Drosophila melanogaster: one gene and its partner. The protein of the gene in region 1 interacts with the protein of each later gene in a pairwise test. Each region holds a gene or a part of one and is shown in the gene's direction. Other genes may lie near its edges. The genes, in order: sas and CG43795.

Evidence for each region.
Region 2: the proteins of sas (region 1) and CG43795 interact in a two-hybrid assay, tested with the Drosophila melanogaster proteins (one large-scale study listed by BioGRID).

Annotation. Positions count from the first base shown.
Region 1 is NT_033777.3:7,161,048-7,165,954, forward strand, and holds the start of sas (stranded at second), read left to right. Parts: upstream 1-1,760; 5' UTR 1,761-1,993; intron 1,994-3,074; 5' UTR 3,075-3,312; intron 3,313-3,381; 5' UTR 3,382-3,473; coding exon 3,474-3,813; intron 3,814-4,907.
Region 2 is NT_033778.4:23,442,495-23,447,329, forward strand, and holds the start of CG43795 (uncharacterized protein), read left to right. Parts: upstream 1-1,642; 5' UTR 1,643-1,889; intron 1,890-4,835.

The DNA of each region.
Region 1 (4,907 bases):
ACTTCTAGTCTTCTTTTCTTTTGCTTAATTTATATTTCTTAATTTTTAATTCTTAATTCCTAATGCTTTAGTATTCATATGTTGTGCATTTTATGCAAAAGACACTACTTGTAGTTTCCGTTTTCTTGCAGCGTTCTTTTCCTTTGCATACATTGAGAAATGCTCCATTCAAAAACTGTGAGCATAAACTGAAGTTGCATTGTTATTATTATTATCTTTTTATGTTCGCCTGTATTTTATTAGCATTAGCATTAGCGGCTTCTCAATGACGGTGCGATAAGCCCCAGACAAAATATATGTATGTATAAACAAAGGGAGACAATGCAACTTTGGCCGTGTTTGTGCAACACCAAAAAAAGCGCATTTCTGCATTATTCTCTGATGTTTGCACGTTAATGTATGCAACCACAAGAGCAGCCCCAATAACATAGAAACTGTGTGCACATTTGATACTTTTTGACGTCTGCGAGCAGAGAGTTGAGAGTTGAGTTGGATATGATTTGATTTGATTAGATTTGAGTTCTTCAGACACACATTTCCTTTTTAATGACGGTTGGCCAACTTGCTGCCATTGATGTGTGATGACGGTTTCTGGGCGCGTCTCGCATCCCAAGTGGAGAATTGATATTTGCATCGATGGCATTTGATGGCGGTGGATCAGTCAGTGATCGGTGGATTTATGAATTTGGGAGCAGCTCCGCAGATAAGGCCTTCGGAATGGCGGTTATTTGGGTTTGCTAATAGATATTGGAATTTCATGAATCTTTCTAGTTTTATTTAATATTTCGGGTATCGCAGTAAAAATAACTTTTATGTAGTTATATATACATATATCGTACTTTCCTCTATAGAAACCGATTTGACCTCGACTAGTTTTTGGGTTTTAATAGCGTCGGCGTACTTATCTTATCTCTAGTTTTACTTATCCCAAAGTAATTGGTTAAATATTATTAGAACACCAAACATTTAGGGATTATAGTAATTATTTCACATAATATAATATAATATAGTACTAATGCTATCCTTATACTAATCATTTTTATCACTCACGAGTGTTCAATGTACCCTACAATAGGGGTGATAAGGTATCACCTTATCACTTATCATTTCACTCTTTCGAAGTAGCATAGAATTTCTTTATTTAATCATATTTACGAAAGCTGTAAATGGGATTAATCTCTTAGTGCCGCTGTGACCCCAAGCATCCCTGACTCATGAACACTCTGGATCTACGAGTATGGAGATGCAGGGCCGCTAATACGAATCTACGCTTGTGCTCTTTCAAAAAGTCAGACAAAGAAGTCGAGGAAGAAAGAAACCGAAGGTAGGCGTAATCGGAACGATGAATGCCAACTCGGCTTGGCCTGGGTTTTTCAATGGGATTGAGTTTTTCGCCATCCAATTGGACAGTCCAAATAGATCGCGCTGAGTTCACTTGTCAAGGAATCGACTATTGCAGTTGCCTTGCCAAATTGAAAAAAAAAAACTCCGTCTTTGAGTCTTGTGTATGCATCATGGTCGTCTTGTTTCGAATCCAACGACTTCTAGAGAGGGCCTTTCGCTCACTACACCCACACTGGCAGACAGCAACAGCCTAGACACACCTGAGTGTGGGTGAGAGCGAGCATTCAACCACGGGGTAATGGTAATGGGTATTATGTATTACGTGCACGGTCTCACCTGTTGCGCTCAGCTGACGCGCGAGAAGGAGCCAGCCAGATGAGAGCCAACTAAGAGTTGGCCGGAGAGCAACAGCAAACCAGTTACATGTTGGCAGCCTGCAGATGCAGACCGTGGTGAGTTGGCAACGCTACCAGCCAAGATCCGTGCCGCCGGAGAGATCAGTTGGTGGTCGTGCTTGAGACGGAGCGGTTGGCCGAGTGCGATCGCATTACTTTGCGAACGATTTATATATACATATAAACCGCGCTGCCCACAAACGTGGCCAGATAAGAGGAGATATATACCAATACCTATACCTATTTCTCGCCGGGTTGGTGCTAATCTTCGTTTTAAGCGTGCCTGCGTGTGTGTGCGGTTGTGATTTATGCAAATCTTTGCTTTCTTATTAAACAAACACAAGATCTGGTAGTGAAATAAACGGCCCAGCAGAAGAAAAGAGAACCACGACCGAAAACATTCCATTGGAAATACCGAAAACACGTTTTCTCCCTCCAGCTCCGAATCGCTTGTTCGCTGTTTGCTTTCTGCCATTTGCCATTTCTACAAAAAAGGAGTGAGAGTGAAATGTGAAATGCGAAATGTCAGTGCAAATAGCTATCAACTTTTACAATGACATCACTAGATGTTAGCCAAAAGAAATATTAACAATTGCCAGCAGATATGGAATAAATAGAACCGCACGCTGTCTAATTGCCTTCGTACCAATATGGCCAAAAAGGCGTGCAGCAAATTCTGCGGTCTGCAGCCGTTTTCAGTTGCAGTTTCTGCTGCTGCCGTTGGAACCGGTTGAAATATTTTGCTATCGCAATTTGGGTCTAGGGTTTTTTGTTGCTGGCGTTGCATTGTAGCGAGTTGCATGAGCATCGACTGCCTTGCATATAAACAGTATATCTTTTTTTAGAGCCCAATTGGCAGCCTTTGTTTTTGGCAAGCTGGTTTATTTGCCTAGTTTCTGATTTGAATGGTGAGAAGTAAACATTGTGCTGGCGGCGTAGTCTTAAAAAAATGAAAGATATTTATGAGCTGCTCTAGGCTTAGGTACAGAAGTTGTAAATCTAAATGAAATATGCTAAATAGGGTTTACGTATCGTAAATCTACATAGGTTTTCAAAAATTCGGACACATTCAAAACTATGCGAAACTTTATAAAACAAAAGACTTGGGAAACGAACTTGCGTGAGTGGCATCGAAGATGTTTACGCTTTCACACTTAAATTGGTCATTACATAAATGTGTGACATAGGAAATGCTTTAGATATGCGGCGTATTTGGAAAAATTAGCTAATACTTTTATTTCGTAGCTTAATTAACTCACATATTATTTTTGATTGATTGAGTCAAGAGTAAGCCACCCCTATTTTCAAGCTAACAACTTTCCAATTTCCGCGTAGGGCGACCTAACAAATCACTCAACAAATCGGCTGGCAAAATATAGACTTGAGTTGACACTTGAGAGATCGTTATTCAACCGACTTTCAACGGAAATGACAGCATTTGGGGTTACCAAAGCGAGTCAATGACAAATAACAGAAACCGCTGCCACAGATGTCGTGTGAACTAAAATAACCGCATAAGAAAATCCCGCACCCCAAAAGAGAAAACTAAATAATAACTAGTGAACAAAAGTAGGTAATGAGTTATCGAGACCCTTCGAAACGTTTAAAAGTGCATGTAATTTATTTAATTCCATATTTATAGCAGATTACTATAAATTAACAATAACAAGTGCAAACGTGTGAGAAAAATCAAAGAGGAAAAGCCAAAAAGACGGAGCACAAACATAAACCAAAATGCAAACGTGTAGAAGAAGAAAAGCCTCCGGCGGCCAATCCACGATCAAGTGGAGTAGAATGTGCCTGGCCACTCTCTGCGGATTACTTTTGCTTGGCATTCAAATTGAGCGTGCGGCGTCTGCGCCCGCAGGCGAAGACGCAGCGGCCACAACGATGCCACCTTTGGATACCACAACAGATGCCCCAGACGCCGTTGCAGCCACCACCACTCCAGCCACAACTGCCGCAGAACAAAGCAGCAGCATCAGCAGCATAACCACCGAGGCGGCGGATGGTTCAACGACTTCCACGACGACAACAACTGAGGCGGCCAACAAATCCAATGCGACCGAAACTGGTGAGTCCAAGCCGAAAGCCATGAAAATTATAGATAGACGGCATCTACGCGACGACGCTCGCATAGCTGGGGCATCTCATCCCGATCTCCGGCCAGACACTTTAATCCCGCCTAGCCGCGCTGTGCTCTCTGCGCCGTAATCAAATCTCGTTCTCTGAGCCACCAATTAACGCCGTGCCGGTGCGTGACTTCTGGTCCGCCCTTTTTTTTACCCATTTCGTTTCGATTTGTACGGCATTTCTCCATAATTATTTTCCGATTCGGTTAAATGGAGCGAACAAGAGAAATTGTTTGACTATTAATGGATGGAAGAATATTTGAAGATATACATAAGCGGTTTCCTGTTGAATTACTTAGTTAATTACGCGGCATATTAAAGGGAAAATATTAAAATTTCCGGCCCTCAAGCTCAATCTCGGAAACCAATTATACGAGAAATTATTATTCGTGCTAGAACAAGTGAATGAACTTAATTAAATCTTAATATATTCTACTCGTACTACACCCAAGATACTCAAGATAAATTGAATTATACTTCTATTTCGATACAATTGATACTTAATATAAAATAAAAAATAATAAATCAGATTAGATTTTTTTTTTTTTTTTTGTAATTCTGTTGAATGAACACATTCACATTTAGGTTATTAGGATAACTGGAGAAATTCGTTTAACCAGATCACCTGAGATGGAATGATTAACTTTCACACACGTACCTTTTGCAAAATAGATTAATCGGGCAATTCCATTGCCGAGTTCTTGGCTGTAACAGATTTATAATTATCTAGAAGGTTGTTTGGGCTTAATGTCAGTTGCACACCAAACTCTTCACGAGGCAAGCACTCCGTCGTAAAAACTTCAATTGGTTTTTCATTGTTTTGATACTATTCCATCTAGATTCATTGATGACTCGATAAAACGAGGTCTAGCAGGCCACACACAGGTCTAGATCGATTGAGCATAGGTTGTTGCCATGGCAAGTGGGAATGCATTGTTTAAAAGGGACTGGCCTTTTTTAGCCGGTCTAAATGCCACGGGAAGTTAATGAGATTTAACAGCAAACATTGGGATGGTGGTAAGGTAAGCCTTCACAA
Region 2 (4,835 bases), on another chromosome or scaffold:
TATTATTTATTTAGTACATTTTGGAAATGAACCATTAAAAGGAATCTATAATCAACAACACATGTTTTTTTTAATGTATTAAATTAGTTGTGACATTTCGATATAAAATTTCCAAATTTCGCAATGACTTCAATTTGCTGCTTAAATTTCTCGACAAATTCAAGTTGCAGCAACCAAGTGTACCAGTTCGCACATCCTCTCGGAAACCAGAAGCCCCATTTGGTTTCCACGTGCAACGTGCATTCAACATTAGCTTGCCATGAAAAGGGGAGCATTTAGGGGAGCATTCTTGTCCGACGCCAGAGATCGCGTTCCAGCTGCTGTCAGCAAATTAGAACGACAACAATGTAATTATCATAATTAAAAGACAGCCCCAGTCGCCCAAAAGCCGAAAGGCCAAAAACCCAACCCAATTCACGTGCTCGTCGAGGGAAAAATGCTGTGGAGCCCGGCGACCGGACACGGCGGCCATGAATTTCCTATTAACAGCCGTTCCCAGTGACAAAAAAAAAACAACGAGCAAGATTCACGACGGAGGTTTTCTGCATGGGTCGCTGGGGGTAATGGGTGTAAAGGGGGGTACAGGGGTGCAGGGGGTGGCAGCTGCATAATTGGGCCAGGTCGCTAATTGTAAAACGGTGCGCATTAATTGCGTCTGCAGCGTTGCGCATTTTGCGGCAACCTTTTCGCCTCGCCCCTACCCTACCCACCCTCCATCCGCTGGGAACCGCAAATTGCAATGATGAAAGTCTTATGCAATTGCACCCCATTTATGAAAGAGGCGGTACGTGTTGCTCTTGGGCGGATGCAGCTGCGTCCGCAGTGCGTTCTTATCAGTGATTCTTATCAGCACGGTCTGCCGACCAGCAACTCACCACACTGGAATGCCGGACATGCCGAACAGCTGTGCAGGGGGCTCCATTACCACTGCGCGCATGTCCAGGATGCGGGGTCAAAAACATAGAATTGTGATAGGTTCTCAATAGAAGTGAAATCTATTGTAAGATTGCTCCTGGAGGCATAGAATCAAAGCTCTCACAATTTACGACAAATTTCCATACTACGCGATTGGAATTCCTTTCGGATTCTTAAGACTCTTAAAATTAATACTTGTGAGAAAATACTAATAGTAATGTTTTTCGATAAATAATCTTCCTGTCTAGATGGAAATTGAAATTAAATTAAGCCGTAAACATAATGATTAAACTTGAGAGTCTCGATTGGTAACTTGTCTCAACTAGTTTGTCACAAGTACATATCTGAAATATATTCCTTTGTTTAACTAAAAGTGTAAAAAATCGGAGCGGAGTTACATGCAACAGTTTACTTTGCGCTGCCAAAGTCTGGCTTATCAGAGGCGAAGCCGCCGCTTCCAGTCTAATCAGAAACATCGCTGGAAGGTTCTCGCACGAAAGAGAGAGCGAGTGAGAGCGGGCACTAACCTGCCTCAATCTCCACAGTGGCCGGTGCCGATGGGAACGGCTTTCACTTTCTCCGGCGCTCAGCTGCTGGTCCACAGACCCACAATCGACGCCTCGGATTGCCAGCGCTCGGATTTACCGTTCGTTTCGGGGCGTGGTGAGTTCGCGAGCGAACGAAGCCGACTTTAAGGCTGGAGTTCCGACGTCGCACGGCGGCTGGCAGTTCGCTCTGAAGCGCGTCGCGGCGTGGTTGTGCATCCATCGTGGGGTCCCAGGAGGAACTTTAAGAACTATTTCGATTCTAGCGAGCCAAGATCGCGTGTTTGGTGAAGTGATCCGAATAGTTTAAGACAAGTCTGCCTCGACAATGGCAGCGATAGTTTTGTGACCAAAAATACAGTGAGAGTTGAAAACCAATCAATTAAAACTAAGCTAAGCAAAAACTTAACGCGGAGTAACCTTTTAAAGGTATGTAAGCACAAGGAAAATCGAACAGACATTCACAAATCAAGTTCACTTCATTCACATTAATGTAAGCCTCATCATGTATGTACATCAACATCAAAGTCAACGGCAACTGTGGCTTAACCAAAAAACAGTGTGCCCCACTCCGAACCAAATGGAAAATGTGAAAACCAATTGGTTATCTGTGCCTTTGGGCTGATCCTCTGACTGCTCCTGTGCGAGTTGTTGAGCCAAATGCCTGTCCATGGGGCGTATACGTAATGCCATTGTTCGGACAACAGCTTACGCAAATCGCATTCGATGCGCCTGCATCTGTGTGCATTCATGGGGCAGCTGAGAACTTAAACACCCGTACATGCGTTGTGGAAGCATGGGCTGGAGCCAGCAAAAAGTACGGCTTATAAATGAGTTAACAAAAGCATAAAAATGTAGTGCCGCCACTCGGTGAGATGAAGCCTGCTGACAGCGGATTCGAAGGCCGCGCAGGAATGTTGCCCAAGCGAAAGTAAATAATAAATTTCATTATCTTCCGCTGGGAGATTATTTTCAGAATGCAAATACCCGTGCACACCTAGAGGCCCATCTGCAAGTCAATTAATTAGGCTGAGGCCAGGATGTTTCATGTCCATGTGGAGAAATTCGGGTGAAAGGCACATCGAAATCACTCATACGCCGTGTGTGCGTATGCCCGTCCAGGTGTAAAACTGTCTTGCCGCTCCGACTTTTACTCGGAACTTTATGTTCGGCCGACCTTTATTTTCGGCCAATTAATTAAACTCCTTTGTTTGGTTCGAAAATTCGGCGTTCCAATTAACTGGGCGCCATTTAGCCAAATGAAGAAATTATACTTCTTTGATGTCAGCACATTTCCTTGGCAAAGTGCGAGTGCCAGAATCCAAGCGATCCAAGCGACTTATTATGCGCTTCATTCACGTTAATTGCCATCTTCCAAATCCCGAGCTTCTGTTCCGAGTCATTGTTTTAATTTGGGCATTTACCTGCACGCTCTTAGCCAGTGTTTACTTTCACTTACCCCAACTCATCCGCCCAGTAATACTTTACTTTGCATACAAATGGGCCAACTGGGCGCTTCTGCTTTATGAATGCAAATTTGCCCAGCCTCCTGCTGATGCCTGCAGTTCGCCATTGACCCATGCTGCGAAGGATGGCAGGATGGGAGGACGCTGTGGTGTCACTGTCAGTTTCAGTTACTTATTTGCATACAGTCGGAGAAATGTGCAGGCAAAGAGTTCTGAACACGGGGTGGACAACTTTTCGAGTGCATTAGGAATGGGCAAATAATGGAAATTTAAGTTTTTCGTACATGCTACTTGCTAAAGGGAAAACTATTGTCTTCCAAGTTCACATAATGGTTTTATTGCGTCCTCAAAATGGCAATGGTATAATGTTGTACAGGGCCTGATTATGTATCTAAAATATTATCATTTTCCTTTTTATTCTGATTCAAAGTGATACCTTTGTTGCGTTAGATGAATAAGTGAAGTATATAATTTATATTCCACTTTCTCCGAGTGTTGCCTTGTCAACAAAAGGCAGCACAATACAGAAAAAGCTGCGAATGAATGAAAAAGCGGCAAATACTAACGCCCAACGTTCTTCGTTGGCAGCTGTTTTGCCTTCCACTTATTCGGCGTTTACTTTGCGAAGTCCTTTTTTTTAAAGGCTTTTCTAAAAATTCAACAGATATCCCAGGCGCGGACTTCGCCAGAACGGATTTGGGGCAAACAGCAAAGTGGCTATGAAGTAAAGCCGTAGAAAGCTGCAAGTACGGCTTGAAAGCTGCTACACGTGTTTGGGCTCGAATTTCATTGAGATTCGCTTAAACAGATCTGATTTTCACTACCTAAGGGCCTCCTGTGGTTTCCCAATTTATCCGCATTGGTCAATCGGTGAGTGGGTTTGCATAATGTGCGAGAGACATCTACTTAATCCTCCTTTCGGAAATTTAATTACGTAGGTGGCATGTTTGCATTTATTCACTTGTGTACATTGAAAACAGCTACATGCGGCCAAAGTGTAATTAAATCAAGACTACATTTTTAAAGTGGGCTTTCCAATTTGGCAGCGTAGCCGTTTCCGCAGTGTATTTGTGCAGTCTGTGGATGTGTGTTCCATTTAATTATTATTTTGACTAAGACCTTAATTCATTTGACCATTTACACAAGCCTCGTAAATGTAATTAAAATCAAGAGATGATGTCGCATTCGAGAGTCTCGACTATTTGATACCCTGTACTCTGCTACTCGATGTTCATATGGACAAACGGATAGACATGGTCACATCAACTCTCCTAGAGGTATTCTACCTGTGACATACATTCCAACTAGTCGAATATACCCTTTTAATCTGCCGAGTACCGAGTATAATTATCAAAAACAAAAATATAGGATAAGAATGGGGATGGCTAAAGTATTCTGGGCGCATAAGCCCTTATTTTGACAAACTTTAGGGACTGAACTTCAGAATGTGTGAGCATCAAACTTATGTCTGCTGAAAGCCTAGCAAATCGGCTTAAATCGGATTTACCGTGGAAAGTTATTAATTATGTACGGAGCATAAGGATGCTCGAAGGATGCCATTTGCTAAAAAAAAAGGAAGAAGAAATCAGTTCGCGTATCTGCAACTTGGCTGCATACTTTTGGTCGCTGTAGTTTTTTCGCACAAACTTTCAGTCAAATACCTGAGTATTTGAGTTGGCCAGTTGACATGCAACCAATTAACTAAGGACAACTGTGTTCACAGCTCATTTCGCAAAACTCCCCCACCCCACGGCAATCAATATAATTGAATGAGCCAAAAGCAGGCACACCAATTAAAAAGGCTACTAAAATGGGCGAATGGGGAAAGTTGATCCTTTAGTGGGCCTAGTTGACACGCCCGATTGTTTAACTATTTAGATGCTTTTTTGTCCACCAACCCGAACGCAAA